Stegostoma tigrinum: one gene and its partner. The protein of the gene in region 1 interacts with the protein of each later gene in a biochemical or structural test. Links are inferred from orthologs where the notes say so. Each region holds a gene or a part of one and is shown on either strand. Other genes may lie near its edges.

The links. The genes of interacting proteins can lie anywhere in the genome.
Region 2: the proteins of magi1b (region 1) and net1 form a complex in vitro, tested with the Homo sapiens proteins (3 studies listed by BioGRID and IntAct, with this or other methods). The link is inferred for Stegostoma tigrinum from reciprocal best matches to the Homo sapiens genes MAGI1 and NET1.

Annotation. Positions count from the first base shown.
Region 1 is NC_081364.1:46,519,449-46,526,646, reverse strand, and holds the start of magi1b (membrane-associated guanylate kinase, WW and PDZ domain-containing protein 1b), read right to left. Parts: upstream 3,021-7,198; 5' UTR 2,551-3,020; coding exon 2,253-2,550; intron 1-2,252. UniProt on the Homo sapiens protein: Plays a role in coupling actin fibers to cell junctions in endothelial cells, via its interaction with AMOTL2 and CDH5. May regulate acid-induced ASIC3 currents by modulating its expression at the cell surface.
Region 2 is NC_081378.1:11,120,965-11,128,454, reverse strand, and holds the start of net1 (neuroepithelial cell-transforming gene 1 protein), read right to left. Parts: upstream 3,016-7,490; 5' UTR 2,968-3,015; coding exon 2,855-2,967; intron 1-2,854. UniProt on the Homo sapiens protein: Acts as a guanine nucleotide exchange factor (GEF) for RhoA GTPase. May be involved in activation of the SAPK/JNK pathway Stimulates genotoxic stress-induced RHOB activity in breast cancer cells leading to their cell death.

The DNA.
Region 1 (7,198 bases):
GAATTCCAAGTTTTGATACGAAATCTGTTTCTTAGAATGTGCTTTGAACCTTAGACAAGTGACCCATATTTATTCAGATGACAAAATGTGAGAATGTACCATTACTGGTAACATCATCTTTAAAGGTCTAAATATAACCAACGTAATTCAAATCGGTCCTAAAACCACTTGTTTTGGTGCATTGCCATTTATTCATGCAATATGATCAATTAAATTCACCATCTCTGTAAAAACATAATCATGCTGGTTGTATTCAGCAAAAAAAGGAGGGGGGTGGTAAGACTGTTGCTTTTGTTTAACAAAAGCAAGGTTTCACTGAATAACAACAACATGTCAAGTACATTATGTCTGAGCTCTGTAATTACTACAATGCTACTGGGAAAAAAATGATTAAAATGGACAACTACAAACTCTAATTGTACTATAAAGTTTTGTTTCCAATTTATGAATAAGATTTCTTTTTCTGTGCAGAGTATAGAGAACAAACTTTATGTGCCAAGACACATTCAACCAACAGACAGTCAGACGACAAAATGCAAAAGTTTTGCTTTTACAGTTTGTCATCAGAATCTTTGTAATGTACTACAGCCTTGAAACTGAACTCTGCTCGTACCTTTAGATAGTAAAATTTCAAAATCCTCTCTCTTCCCCACCATCCCCAACCTGTTGAACCCACCAGACCTTATTGTCTTTATAGCCTTAAGGTCAATAGGGTTGGCTTTCCAAATCAATTCCATTGCCAAGCTCATGTCTTCCTGTTCTTTACACAAGACACGAGAATGAATTTGTTTTTTGTTTACAAAAATGGGGACATGCAGGCCGTTCCTCTACAGGTTGGTGAACACATTCCTTCTTAAGCATATGCTGCATACAGCAATTAATTTGTACACATGGGTTATAATGCATTTCTACACAGACCCCAGAGTCAGAATTAATTGCGCTATCACTTGTAGCCAAATTAAAGACAGATCACCAACATTTTCCAGCTTTCGCTTCTCTTGCAGGGCACAGGAAATACTTGATTTCAATTTGAATACTATTTAACCACCAATAAAACTTACTAAATGGTACTCATTTCTTATAATTTATTTATTTGCATAAAGCTATTACTAAAATTAGCAATTATTAAAACTTTAAAAACATTCCCATTCAGGTCAATGAAGAAAATTTACATTTTTGCAGGAGACCCGTGACCAAGGCTTATACAGAGTACTAAGATGTAAAGAAGCCTCACAGCTGAATTGGTAACTCACTTGCTGCTCAGTCAGAAAACCACAAGTCCCATTCTAGTATAAAAGGCAGATGACACTCCACTGGAGGACTGCCTCTTAGATAAGATAAGAAAACAAGATCCGATTTGCTTGCAGGAGGATGTGAAAGGTCACACTGAACAATTTTAACAAAAGAGCTGGGCAGTTATCTATGTCCAGGTCAAAATTTATCCTAATCAACATCACAAAAACAGAATACGTGGTCATTACTGGTTGCTATTTATGGGAGTTTGCTGTGTTCAAATTAGTGTCTCCTGTGTTACAAGAGTGACTGCATTTCAAACGTACTTTGGAAGTCATGAAAGATACATGAATGTCAACCTTTGTTTCAACCAGCAAAGTTCGTCAGGCTGTTGAACTTATTCTGGGCAAGTCTTTGTTATTTAAAAGATTTGAAAATGACAAAGTGGAAGTAAACATTTTGTACTGAAATAAGTATTGAAAAGGACCCTGTTATAAAACTAATAGGTCACATCAGTAAATTAGTGTAAACTTATGATTCAAGCTGGTATTTATTTATAAGCAGATTTGAAGTTGCTACTCTCCTGGATTACAGCAGTGGCAAGAGGAGACTAGCTAGCAGTGGCCTTCAGCATTTCTTTAGTCCACTTGAACAAACCTAGGGATCTTCCAAGTGCTATATAAACTTAGAACGCTACATATGATCCCAGTAGACCAATGAATTCTACCTCTACACAAACACCATCAAGATCCAGTTGATCATTGTCAAGCAACTGGTGGAATTTTTGGTTCATGTCTCAGGGTGGGGTTTTGCAACTGTGATCGGCACAGTACAGTAATCAGGTAAGCAACAAAAAAAAATCGACCACTGACCACCTGATCCCTGTGTTTGAGACGATAGCGACTCAAGTGGGTGCGTGTATGTGTGTTTGTGTGCGTGTGTGTAAAGCTAGCGCAGCCGCCAGTGCACGCCACCGTATCTGGTGGTATGTAGCGAGGTGCACTGGCCTAGGGTCATACCTTGTTTGACAGTTTTCAGGCGGATCGGCCCCTTGCAGCTCCTGACCAGGGCGCGGACATCATAGAGGGGCAGCCCGGACACATGGACTCCATCCACTTCCAGCAGCAACTCGCCTTCCCTCAGCTCGCCGGAGGTGTAAACGATCTGATCCTGGTTCGCCTCCCGCAAGTAGGAAAACTCTCCACTCTCAGCCCCACCTGAGATGACAAAAGGCAGCTCCCCTTGCCTGTTCTTAGAGACCACACTTTCGTGCAGTTTGGTGGTCCAGTGGTTTTTCTTCTGAATCACTTTCGACATGGTGTTTATTTGGTTTAGATTTGGAGCGGGAGAGAGCCAGCAGAACTGCCTTAGGACACAGGGCACAAACAGGTGATGAAGCGGATCATAAGAATCTCGGTCCCCTTACTCACACAGAAACTTGGAGCAGAAGCAGCAGCACCGTCCCGGGCTGTGGCGGAGGCAGCAGCGGCTTCTGCGAGGCAAGCTCCCGAGTTCCTGCTGCAAAAACCATCGCCTCAGCTTTCCACAAACATCTGTGTCCCCTGGATTTCCCCAAACAAAAGGGAAACAACGAAAGGTTCAGAAAGGAAGAAGCCCCAGTGCCTGGAAGTAATCCAATTTGAGGGTGCACTGCACTTCCTCCCAGTGCTGGGTGGATGGGATGGGGTGGGGGGGCGACAGCGGTTGTTTTAATCCAACTCTTCTCTGTACGTTTCCCACTTTCTGACCAGACTCCGGCTCAATTCCAGCAACACTCTCACTCTGCTCCAGACTGGCTTAAGCGCATGCGCCACACCTCCCGCAGCTCCCCTCCCCACGCCCATGTAAATGAAGCCCCGCCCCCAGCCGGGTCCTAACGCCCGCCTCCACCTCGGAGGCCAGTCCCGCCGCAATCGAAGAGTCTCTCTCCCTTGGCATCACTCCCTTTCTAAGCTAGAAAGAGCGCCCAACTCGCCAACGCAGTCAGAAAGGGGAAAGGATCTCTCAGGCAACGTTGAAAGCCTTTTTTTTTTCTGTGGTTTACGCCCGCAACTCGTCGCTGCACTAGTTTGAGACAACTTTTGTGAAGGAGAAAACAGAGTTAACATTTCGGGTCCGGTGACCCTTCCTCAGAACCTCTGTGTTCCTCAATTCTGAGGAAGGGTCACTGGACCCGAAACGTTCATTCTGTTTTCTCCTTCGCAGATGCTGCCAGACCTGCTGAGCTTTTCCAGCAACTTTGCTTTTGTTCCTGATTTATAGCATCCGCAGTTCTTTTGTTTGAGACAACTTTTATTAACTTGGTTTGTTTCGAAACAAACTCCTCCAAAATTGGCATTGAAAAAATATTCAGTGTATCCCTTCACGCGAACGGGCGATATGTGAGAGTGGTCTCGAAAAATGCACAATTTTCAGGTCAGTTGTAAAGATCCTGTGCAGACAGAGAAGAGAGCTGACTAATCTGGCACAGGATTGTCCGACGAGACGATTAAGCATAGCTGTTTTTTTTTCTTCAAAGCAGATGTCACTTCGTGTAGCTGCATTTTAACTAATAGCTTTATATTTTTAACTTCTTGGCTCGCAGCAATAGGTATATAATAAACTAACCTTGTTTACCACAAAGCTTTGTAAAATGGAACACAAAAAAAGCTGAAAAGGCGATGAAACAAGTACAAATTCTCAGCACATTGTCTACTGTGCAGTTATATCCGATGTCGTGACACAAACTATCATATTGAATACTTATTAAAGACAGAAGAAACGATCATAAACAGTGAGTAAGTGGAAGAGACAAGTATTGTGTATCTGTCTTCTCCGCAGACCATACAAGTTGTAAACCAGGAAAAAAATGGATAACTTTGGGGCTAATAAGATTGGTGAAATTAAGGTAATTAATACTTGCAGCGTAAAAAAACGTGCCGGACAAACTCAAGGGAATAAAACCCCAACAAGTCCGCAGGACCCAATCAATGACTATGTTCTCCTGTTCTAATAGAGATAGTTGCAAGTACAGCCGAAATGCTGATTATGATTTTTCAAAATTCCCTAGGTCCAGCAGATCAAGAGATAGCTAACAGGAAGCAGACAGTAAAAAATTCTTGCTTCAAATGTATTAAACACTGGTGAGACCACACCCAGAGTATTGTGTGAAGCTGGATGAACACAGCAGGCCAAGCAGCATCTCAGGAGCACAAAACCTGACGTTTTGGGCCTAGACCCTTCATCAGAGATGATGATCAAGGATCTAGGCCTGAAACGTCAGCTTTTGCGCTCCTGAGATGCTGCTTGGCCTGCTGTGTTCATCCAGCTCCACACTTTGTTATCTTGGATTCTTCAGCATCTGCAGTCCCCATTATCCCAGAGTATTGTGTTTTGTTTCTTTGTACTTTGTACTTTTTTTCACAGGATGTGGATATCAATGGCTTTACTGCTGAGCTGCCCAGAGACCAGATAGGAGTAAACCGCTTTGCTGCGGGTCTAGTGTTATAATTAGACCAGACCAGATTTCCTTCCATGCAGGAGAGTAGTGAACTAGGTGACTGAAAGGTCTGAAGATAGTTTAACTGCCTGGACCAAATGGACTGGGGGCAGCACGCTTGGTCAGTGGTTAGAGCTGCTATCTCATTGACAGGGACCTGGGTTTGATTCTACTATAGGTCTGTGTGGTGTTTGCACATTTCCACTGGGTGTTCCAATTTCTTGCCACAGTACAAAGATGTCCCGGTTAGGTGATTTGGCCATGCTAAATTGCTCATAGTGTCCAGGGATATGGAAGTTGGGTGGATTGGCCATGCAAAGTGTACACTTAGAGGGATAATGTAGAGAGTTGGGTGTGGATGCTCTTTGGAGGGTCAGTGTGGGCTCATTGGGCTGAATGGCCTGCTTCCACACTGTAGGGATTCTATGACTGCACCCCAGAGCTCTGAAGGAGGTAGCTGAGGAAATTGTGGAGGCATTGTTGGTGATCTTTCAGGAATTACTGGAGTCAAGAAAGGTCCCAGGAGACTGGAAAATGGCAAATGAAATGGCCCTCATGAAGGAAAGAAGGTGCAGAAAATGGGAAATTCTAGCCTTGTTAGCCTAATGCAGTAATTGGTAGGATTTTAGAGTCCATTATTAAGGCCAAGATTTGTGGAGATTTGGAAGTAGTGATAAAATCAGGCTGATTCAACATGGCTTTTCGAAGAGAGATCATGCCTGACAATTCTGTTAGAATTTTTTGAGGAGGTAGCGAGCAAGTTAGACAAAGGAGAGCCAGTAGACATGATCTATTTGGATTTTCAGAAGCCTTTGACAAGGTGCTACCTAGAATGCTACTAAATAAGATGTGTTAGTGTCAAGGTACGAGAGGTTGACTGGCAGAAGGCAGAGAGTGGGAAGAAGGGGTCTTTTTCAGGATGGCAACTGGTGACTAGTGGAGGTCTGCAGGGATCTGTCTTTGGGCCACAACTATTACCATTATATATTGACGATCTGGATGAAGGAACTGAGATAATGTTGCTAAGTTTGTAGATAACAGTAAGGTAGGTGGAGGGATAGGTAATGTTGAGGAGGCAGGATGCTGTAGAAGAACTTGCAAAGGCTAAGAGTGTGGGCAAAGAAATGGCAGATGGAATACAATGTGGGAAAATGTAAGATTATTAATTTTGGTAGGAAGAGTGGAGGCACAGACTATATACTAAATGAAGAAATGCTTCAGAAATCTAAAGAGCAGAGGAATTTAGGAGACCTAGTTCACAATTCTCATACAGTTAACATACAGGCTCACTTGGCAATTAGGAAGACAAATGCAATGTTAGCATTCATTTTGAGACGCCTAGAATACAAGAGGTGGGATGTACTACTGAGATAAAACAAAGTACTAGAGAGGCCAGAAATTTGAATCTCAAAACTCAGCAAGTCTGACAGCACCTGTGAGAAGACAGCAGGGTTAATGTATCATACGATGACTCTTCATCAGATAGCTCCTATATGGTAAGGGGATTGAAGGATATTGGGAGAAGGCAGGAGAATAGGGTGGAGAAACGTATCAGTCATGGCTAGTGGTGAAGCGGACTGAATGGGCCAAATAGCTGAATTCTCAATTATCTTTGCCCCTTATGTTCCTAGAGATTTGAAATAAATGGGGTTTGTTTCAATTTGGCACACTATGATTCAAGAGTGCCCCAAAGATTAGTGATGGAGTCTTTGCTATTTACAATCAATATTAATGACTTAGACAAAGAACAGTGAATCTACATGTTTCAACTAGGAAAATTGAGATTCAAACTGTGAGGAAGGAACAATGAAATTGTAAAGAGATAAAGGTATGTGAACTGATTGGGCAATAAGGTGGCAGATAGAGTGTAACATGGGAAAGTGTGAAGTTATTCACTTTGCTTATTAGAATAGAAAATCAGAATATATTTTAAAGGTAAACTTGGAAACATTGATGTTTGTAGAGCCTTGCATATTCTCATACAATACACATTAAAAATTAACACACAATTAGGACAGCAAATGATGCAGAAGGAGTGGAGTAATAGAATAAAGAAATCTTTCTATAATAAAGCAGAGTGTGTGTGAAATTATGTGAGAACTTTCATCTCCATATTTAAAATAACTTATAATGGAGGCAGTACAGCAAAGATTCACCAGATTGATCCCTGGGATGAGAGGATCATCCTATAATGAGAGGCTAAGGTGGATTTATATTCTCTGAAGTTCAATGAGAGTTGATCTCATTGAAACATTCAATATTCTGGAGGAGCTTGACAAACTATATTCTGAAAGATATTTTTCTCCAGCAGGGAAATCTAGAACAAGGGGCACAATTTCAGGATGACAGTCTAACCATTTAGATCTGAGAGAATGCAAAATTTCTTTACACAAAGTATTGTGAATCTTGACCCAAATGGTTGGAGGTTGCACCATCTTTGAATGTACTTATGGCTGAGATAAACAAAAATCTGCTCGGAAATCAAGG
Region 2 (7,490 bases), on another chromosome or scaffold:
TCCTAGGGGGTGTGGCCAAACAATGAGAGCTCGGGGTGTAGACTCAGTTCCTTGAAGCTAGAGTCACAGATAGACAGGATAGTTTAGTACTCTTGCCTTTATGGTCAGTTCATTAAGTGTAGGAGTTGGGAGGTCATGTTGCAGCTGGTCAGGATATTGGTTCGGCTACCTTTGTAATACGGCATTCAATTCGTTATTGCATTGAGTTCAGGAGTTGGAAGGTCATGTTGCAGCTGGTCAGGATAATGGATCATCTACAATCGGAATACCGCATTCAATTCTGGTCTCCCTGCTGTAGGAAAGATGTTGTAAAATTTGAAAAGGTTCAGAAAAGCTTTACAAGGATGTCACCAGGGTTGGAGGGCTTGAGCTATATGGAGAGGCTGAATAGGCTACAGGTATTTTCCCCGGAACATTGGAGGCCGAGGGGTGACCTTATTGAGGTTTATAAAAACATGAGAGGTATGAATAGGGTGAAGAGCCAAGGGTACCCTTTGCTCCAGAGTAGGGGAGTCCAAAATTAGAGAACATAGGTTTAAGGTGAGAGGGGGCCTAAGGGACAATGGTTTCATGCAGAGAATGGCACGTGTTGAAATGAGCTGCCAGAGGATGTGGCGTTGGAGCATGGTACAATTATAACATTTAAAAGACATCTGGATGGGTGTATAAATAGGAAGTGTTTTAAGGAATAATGGGCAAAATACTGGCAAATGGGGCTAGATTAATTTAGAATATCTGGTTGGCAGAGACAAGTTGGACCAAAGGGTCAGTTTCTGTGCTGTACAGCTCTATGATTCTATCTGGCCTAATATCTCCTTCTGTGGCTTGATGTCAAATTTTTATTCATGATGCTGCTTCAAAGTATTTTTGGTTGTTTCCTGACATTAAAGTCACCATATAAATACAAATTATTTCTGATGAAATCAGATGGCTGTCCCATCATTATAGACATGATTTTCCAGCTTACGTGGTAACAGCAGGGAACTCACAATCACTATTGATAATTTTATGGGAGTATATGGATAGCATGGAAAGTGGGTAACTAACAATTCAGTTTTGGCATAGACAATAGCAATGTGGTACAAACAATCCAGAAAATGTTGACATGGAATCAGGAATAACTTGGAAGACGTATGCCAATGTTTCCAAGAACATCAATTCTAGAATATCAAAGTACATCCTATATGCATTACAATTAAATCGAATCCCCACACAAAAATCAATGTCAGTAAAATCAATAGTGTCATGCAGACAAGCAACTTCAGCTTCGATGCAAAGCTGACTGAGAAACATTTACTTAAATAGCTAAGCTCCCATGTCGTGACATACTCAAGTAAGAAGAAAACACTTTCCAAAAATAAATGTTGTCCAATTAACTTGAAAAACATCAAAAGAAACTAAATAAAAAATTCAAAAGGTAGAAGACTTTGAAATAATAAAAGTGTAAAATCAAAAATAATTGAGCTATGTTAATGTAAAGCTTATATCAAGAATTTGCTTTAGATTTTCCACTGCTTTTCATTTGAATGTGAGCTTAGGAAGTATAGTTAGTAAATTTGCAGATGACATCAAAATTGAAGGTGTAGTTGACAATGGAGAAGATCGCCTCAGAGTACAACGGGATCTTGACCAGATGGGCCAATGGGTCAATGAGTGGCAGATGTAGGTAAATGTGAGGTGTTGCAATGCGGAAAGGCAAAGCAAGGCAGGACTTAAACCTTTAATGGTAAGATCTTGGGGATTTTGGCTGAACAAAGAAACCTCGGAGTACAGGTTCATAGTTCCTTGAAAGTGAAGTCATAGGTCGATAGGATAATGAAGAAGGCATTTAGTACGCTTACCTTTATTAGTCAGTGCATTGAATTTTGGAGTTGGGAGGTCATGTAGTGCCTGTACAGGACATTGATTAGGCCACTATTATAATACTGCATGCAATTCTGGTCTCCCTACAATAGGAAGGGTATTGTGAAACTAGGAAGGGTTAAGAAAAGTTTTACATGGATGTTACAAGGGCTGAAGGGTTTGAGCTATAGCGAGAGGCTAAATAGACGGGGGCTATTTTCCCTGTAGCATCAGAGGCTGAGGGAGTGACCTTATAGGGGTTTATAAAATCATGAGGGGCAGGGATTTGGGAGGTATAGTAAAGATCTTTTCTCAGGGTGAGGGGGTTGAAAGCTAGAGGACATAGGTTTAAGGAGAGAGGGGAAAAGATTTAAAAAGGATCGAAGAGGCAACATCTTCATTCAGAGGGTGGTGCATGTATGAAATGAGCTGCCAGAGGAAGTGGTGGATGCTGGTACAATTACAACATTGAAAAGGCCCTGGCTGGGTACATGAATAGGAAGGGTTTAGAGGGAAATAGAACTGGATATGTTTGGGATATCTGGTCAGCATAGGTTAGACCAAAGCATCTGTTTTCATACTGTTCAAATCTGTGATTCTATGTGTTTCTGTTTCAGTCAGAGATCACCTTGTTAAAATCAAAACTAAACTAAATATGATCTCTTAAGCTACCTTTCGGTTTGCGATTTTACTTAGTCCTGACAAGGGTAATACCCGAAACGTTGCCTGCTTCCAGCTTCCTATTTGCCTACCGTGTACAGCTCTATGACTTTTGTTGCATGCTATTAAGTACCAAAGCACACGAGTTCAGAGAAATTTTCAAACATGTATTAAGCAAAAGCATGACCAAACTGACGAGTTTACTTAATTGTTTCTGCTTGTTATTCAATTAAGGTATAACTATATGTGAAGATTAGTGTTAACGGAACAACATTGAAAGGGAGAGGGAATTGGTGAAGGACGGGTGCAAGCTCAACTCCAGACTCCCCACCACCGGCTTCCATTCACTCACCGTCTGCTGCTGTCCGCTGGCTCTGGGGAGCTGCGGCTGCTGGATGCCACTGAGGATTTCCTCCTGAAGGGGGGCCGCCTGTTCTCTTTCGTTAGCGGCTGTGCCTGACTCATGGTGCCGGTGTGGGACTGCTGTCACCGGCCCTGGGCCTCACTGATCCCTCGGGTCTCTTCTAAATACCCCTGTCACTCCCCTCCCCCACGATCGCTCCCCGATCCCCGGTCTCTCCGGACTTGGGCCTCTAACCGCCCCCTTGCGTTTGAAACTGCCGCCGCTGGAATGCGCCAATCAGCGCCCGCCTCGTCGCCGGGGCCTTCCGCCTCCGTAACCAATGTGAAGCCTCAATCGCGGTGAGAATACGCTCATCAGTGAAGGCAAGGATACATCAATCTATTAAATTCTCTGTGCAAACGAAATGTTTCCCCGAAGCTAAACTTCATAAGTAGCAAAACGTCTTAAATTCGCATTATTTTATATGTAACCATGTTCTACACGATATTGTTAGGTTCACTTATTTTGTATATTTCTGTAGATCAGTTCGAGTTCACTTTTTTTATACGTATTACAATTATGTTTTATACATTTAAGGTGTGGGAAGGAAATTTAAAGGAGATGTGAGGGGCAAGTTATTTTTGAGTGGTAGGAGTCTGGAACACGCGGTCTGGGGTGTTGGTGGACGCAGATATGATGGGGTCAAAAATGCAGAGCTGGAAAAGCACAGTAGGTCAGACAGCATCCGAGGAGCAGGAAAAGTCAACGTTTCGCGTTGGAACCCTTCTTCAAAAACGTTTTAAGGTGAGAGGGGAAAGATATAAAAAGGACTTAAGGGGCAACACGCTCTCTCAGACGGTGGTGCCTGTGTGGAATGAGCTGCCAGAGGAGGTGGTGGAGGCTGGTAGGTTTACAACACTTAAAAGGTATCTGGATGGGTATATGAATAGGAAACGCTTAAGGGGGTACGAACCAGATGCTGGCAAATAGGTCTAGATTTATATTGGCCATCTGGCCAGCATGGACGAGTTGGACTTGATGTGTTTCTGGACTGTATATCTGTATGATGGGAGTAAACCTGACTATGTTTAATCAAGGAAGTCAAGGTTAGTACCAAGCTGAGGACCTACAATGTGACAGTTAATGGTAGCCCAGAGAATTGGACAAGTTTTAAAAGCCACCAAAGGACAGTGGGGGGGGGGGGGGAAGAAGAAGTGAACACAAACTAGCAAGTAATACAAAAATTAGGAGTAAGACCTTATTTAAATATTTCAAAAGGAAGCATGAGGTCAAAGTGAACATGCCATAGGCCATTTAGATAATGAGGTGAGGGGAAACTAGGAAATGGCAAAAATCTTGAAAAATTCCAAGAGGTAATCAGGTTGCAATGGGTTCCATTCTTGAATCCACTTCCAAATTAATCTTTATGCATGTTGGAACATAATGCAGGATAATATAAAGTAGGTATTTGTAAATACAGAAAATGTTCATATGTTGGATCATTAAAATTACAACCATGTATAGGATTGCATTCATATGTACAGGTGATCATGATGTCAGATGTTTGTAAATTGGGGACCAACTGTACTTTAAATCAGTCTTCATGTTGAAGATTCTAAGAGGGTAAAAAAGGGAAGAAATGTAACTTGAACTAATTGGGCTTTTGGATCTGAGTTGAATCCTAGAGTATTAAAGGAAGTAGCTGGAATGGTAGTAGTCTTCCAAGAATTCTGGAAAGTTTTCAGAGGACTGAAGAACTGCCAATCCAACACCCTTACCCAAAAAAAGGAGATGAATACAAATAATAAGCCTTAGCTTAATGTAATTGGGAAGCAATCTGAATCTATCATTAAGGATCTAAAGCAAGACCACTTAGAAATGCATAATACAATTAAGCAGAGTTAGCTTCATAAACAGGAAATCATGCCTGACAAATTTGTTAGAATTCTTTGCTCTAATAAGTTAGAGGAAGTGTTATATATTTTGATTTCTAAATGGCTTTCAATAAGATGGTGCCTAAGAGCTAGTGGTGCAAGGGATAATTCTATTAGCATGGATAAAGGATTGGCTAGCTAATTGAATAGAGTTAGGATAAAGCCATCATTTTTCAAGATTGCAACCTGTAACTAATGGGATGCCACAAGAATGAGTGCTGGGGCCACAATTTACAACAACACTGGCTTGGGGAAAGGAAGTGAATGGAATATCAGTTTTCAGAAAATACAAGGATGATGTACTGTGTGTGGAGAGATTTAGACAGTGGGGGGGAAAAATTCTTATTTTTTCACATTATATTCCATCTGTAAGGTTATGCACTTTAGTGGGGAGATTAGAATAGCTGAATATTATCTAAAATGGCAAGATTGCAGGAAACTGCTGCTCAAGGATTTGGGATCCTCACTACTAAAAAGCTAGCATTCAAATTCAGTGGGTAGCAGGAATTTCAAATGCATAATTAGCCTTTACTTCAAAGGGAATAGGTTTATTTAAGAGGTTTTGATTCATCTATGAAAGATACAAGTCAGACCACAAGTAGAATACTGTGAACATCTTTGGGCCCATGATTTAAGCAAAGATATAATGACATTTGAGGCAGACCAGAAAAGATTCATTAGGTTAGTTTATGGAGGGATTTTCTTATGCAGAGAGGTTGAGTAGTTTGGGCTTGAATTTATTGGTATTTAGTAGAATGAGAATATTGAAACAGATGAGATTTTTTTTGGAGGCTTATTGGGGTAGATGCAGGAAGATGCTTCCCTTGTGGAAAAGACTAGTATCAGAGGGCTTAATCTCCAAGTGAAGGATTGCCTGTTAAAGACAGATGAGGAATTTCATTTGAGGAATTCTTAACCAGTCACTGCAGCATTCTGGGTAAAGTCTATTCAAGGCTGAGAGAGATTTTTCATCAATAAGGGAATCCAGCATTGAGAAAATGGCAGGAAAGAGTTGAGATCAGTTCGTAAATCCATAAGAAATAGGAACAGGAGTAGACCATTTAGCCCCTCAAGACTGCTGCACCATTCAACAAGATCATGGCTGATCTGACATTCCTCACATCCACTTTCCTGCTCTGCCCTCTCTCCATAGTCCTTGATTCTTCTACTGATCAAGTACCTATCTACCTCAGCCTTAAAATGTACACAAGGACACTGGTCCCAGAGCTCTCTTTTGGCAAAGAATTCCAAAGACACTCAAACATCTGAGAGGAAATTCTTCCTCATCTCAGTTGTAAATTGGTGCCCCTCTTATTCTGAGTCTGTGCCTCTGGCCCTAGACTCTCATGAGGCTCCACATCCCCCTCAGCACTTACCCTGTCAGGCTTCTGAAGAATCCTGTATGTCTCGACGAGATCACCACTGCTTGTTCTTCTAAACTCCAGTGAGTCCTAACCTCTTTAGCCTTTGCTCATCAGACAATTGAGTACATTTAAGACAGATAACCCTTAGCATCAAGAATGTGTAATTTTTTTGGGGGGGGGGGGGGGAAGCAGGAGAATGGGGTTGTGAAACCTGATTGAATAGCAGAGCAGACATGATAGGCTAAATGGCCCAATTTCTGCTGTCTTATGATCTTAGTCCCTCCAAAGCAGGGATCTTTCTAGTGAACCTTGTCTGAATTGCCTTCCATGAAGTAATATCTTCCCTCAATTGAGGGGACCAAAACTGCACACAGCACTTGAGTTGTGGTCTCACTATACCTTGTACAATTGCAGTAAGATTTCTGACTCATCTATTCCAACACCTTGAAATAGGGATCAATATTCAATTAGCATTCCTGATTAATTGCTGCATCTGTGTTAGCTTTCTCTGTTCCATGCACAAGTATCCCCGATTCCTTTGTGTTGCACCTTTCTGCAATTTTTTGTCCAATTTTGTTTTAGTTTTCCTTCCAAAAAGAACAACTTTAGATTTTTCCACACTACAGTCTATTTGCTAACTTTTTGCCCACTTAACCTATCAGCCTGTCTCTGTGAACTATTTGTATGCTTCTCACAACCTGCCTTTATATCTATTTTTAGTGTTGTCTATCTGTAAATTTGGTTCAGTATCTTCACTTCCCTCCCTCCGAGTCATTAATACATTATTAACTAACTCAATCAGGGAGAGAGCATGTACCCATTCTTTTGCTGTGAACTCTGTTTGGAGAACAGAATGTTAGTTTCCATAAATTAAAATAAGTGAGTCGGCCACTTCAGCCTGCTACACCATTTAGTGACCTCACAGCTGATCTTCTATTCAATGCCACTTCCCTGCACTATTTTTATAACACTTAAATTAACATCTGTCTTGAATATATTCAATGATTTGAGTCTCCATAGTCCTCAAGGACAGAATTATGAAGAGTCAGTACATTCTGCATGAGGAAATTCTTCTTCTCAATCTTCTCTGCTCTAGCTCTTATTCTGGAGCTGTCCCTCCAAGTTATAGATTTGTCCATCAGTGGAAACATTCTACTCAAACTATACTGTCAACTCCTGTAAGAATTTTGTTTAATTGAGATCACCACCTCCATTCTTAAGTCCAGAAAATAAATGTTTAGTCCATTCAATCTTGCTTCACAGGACAATCCTTCTATCCCAGGAAATAGTTTGCTGAATCTTTGTTACATTGTCTCCATGGCAAGTATATGTTTCTGGCTGTAAAGA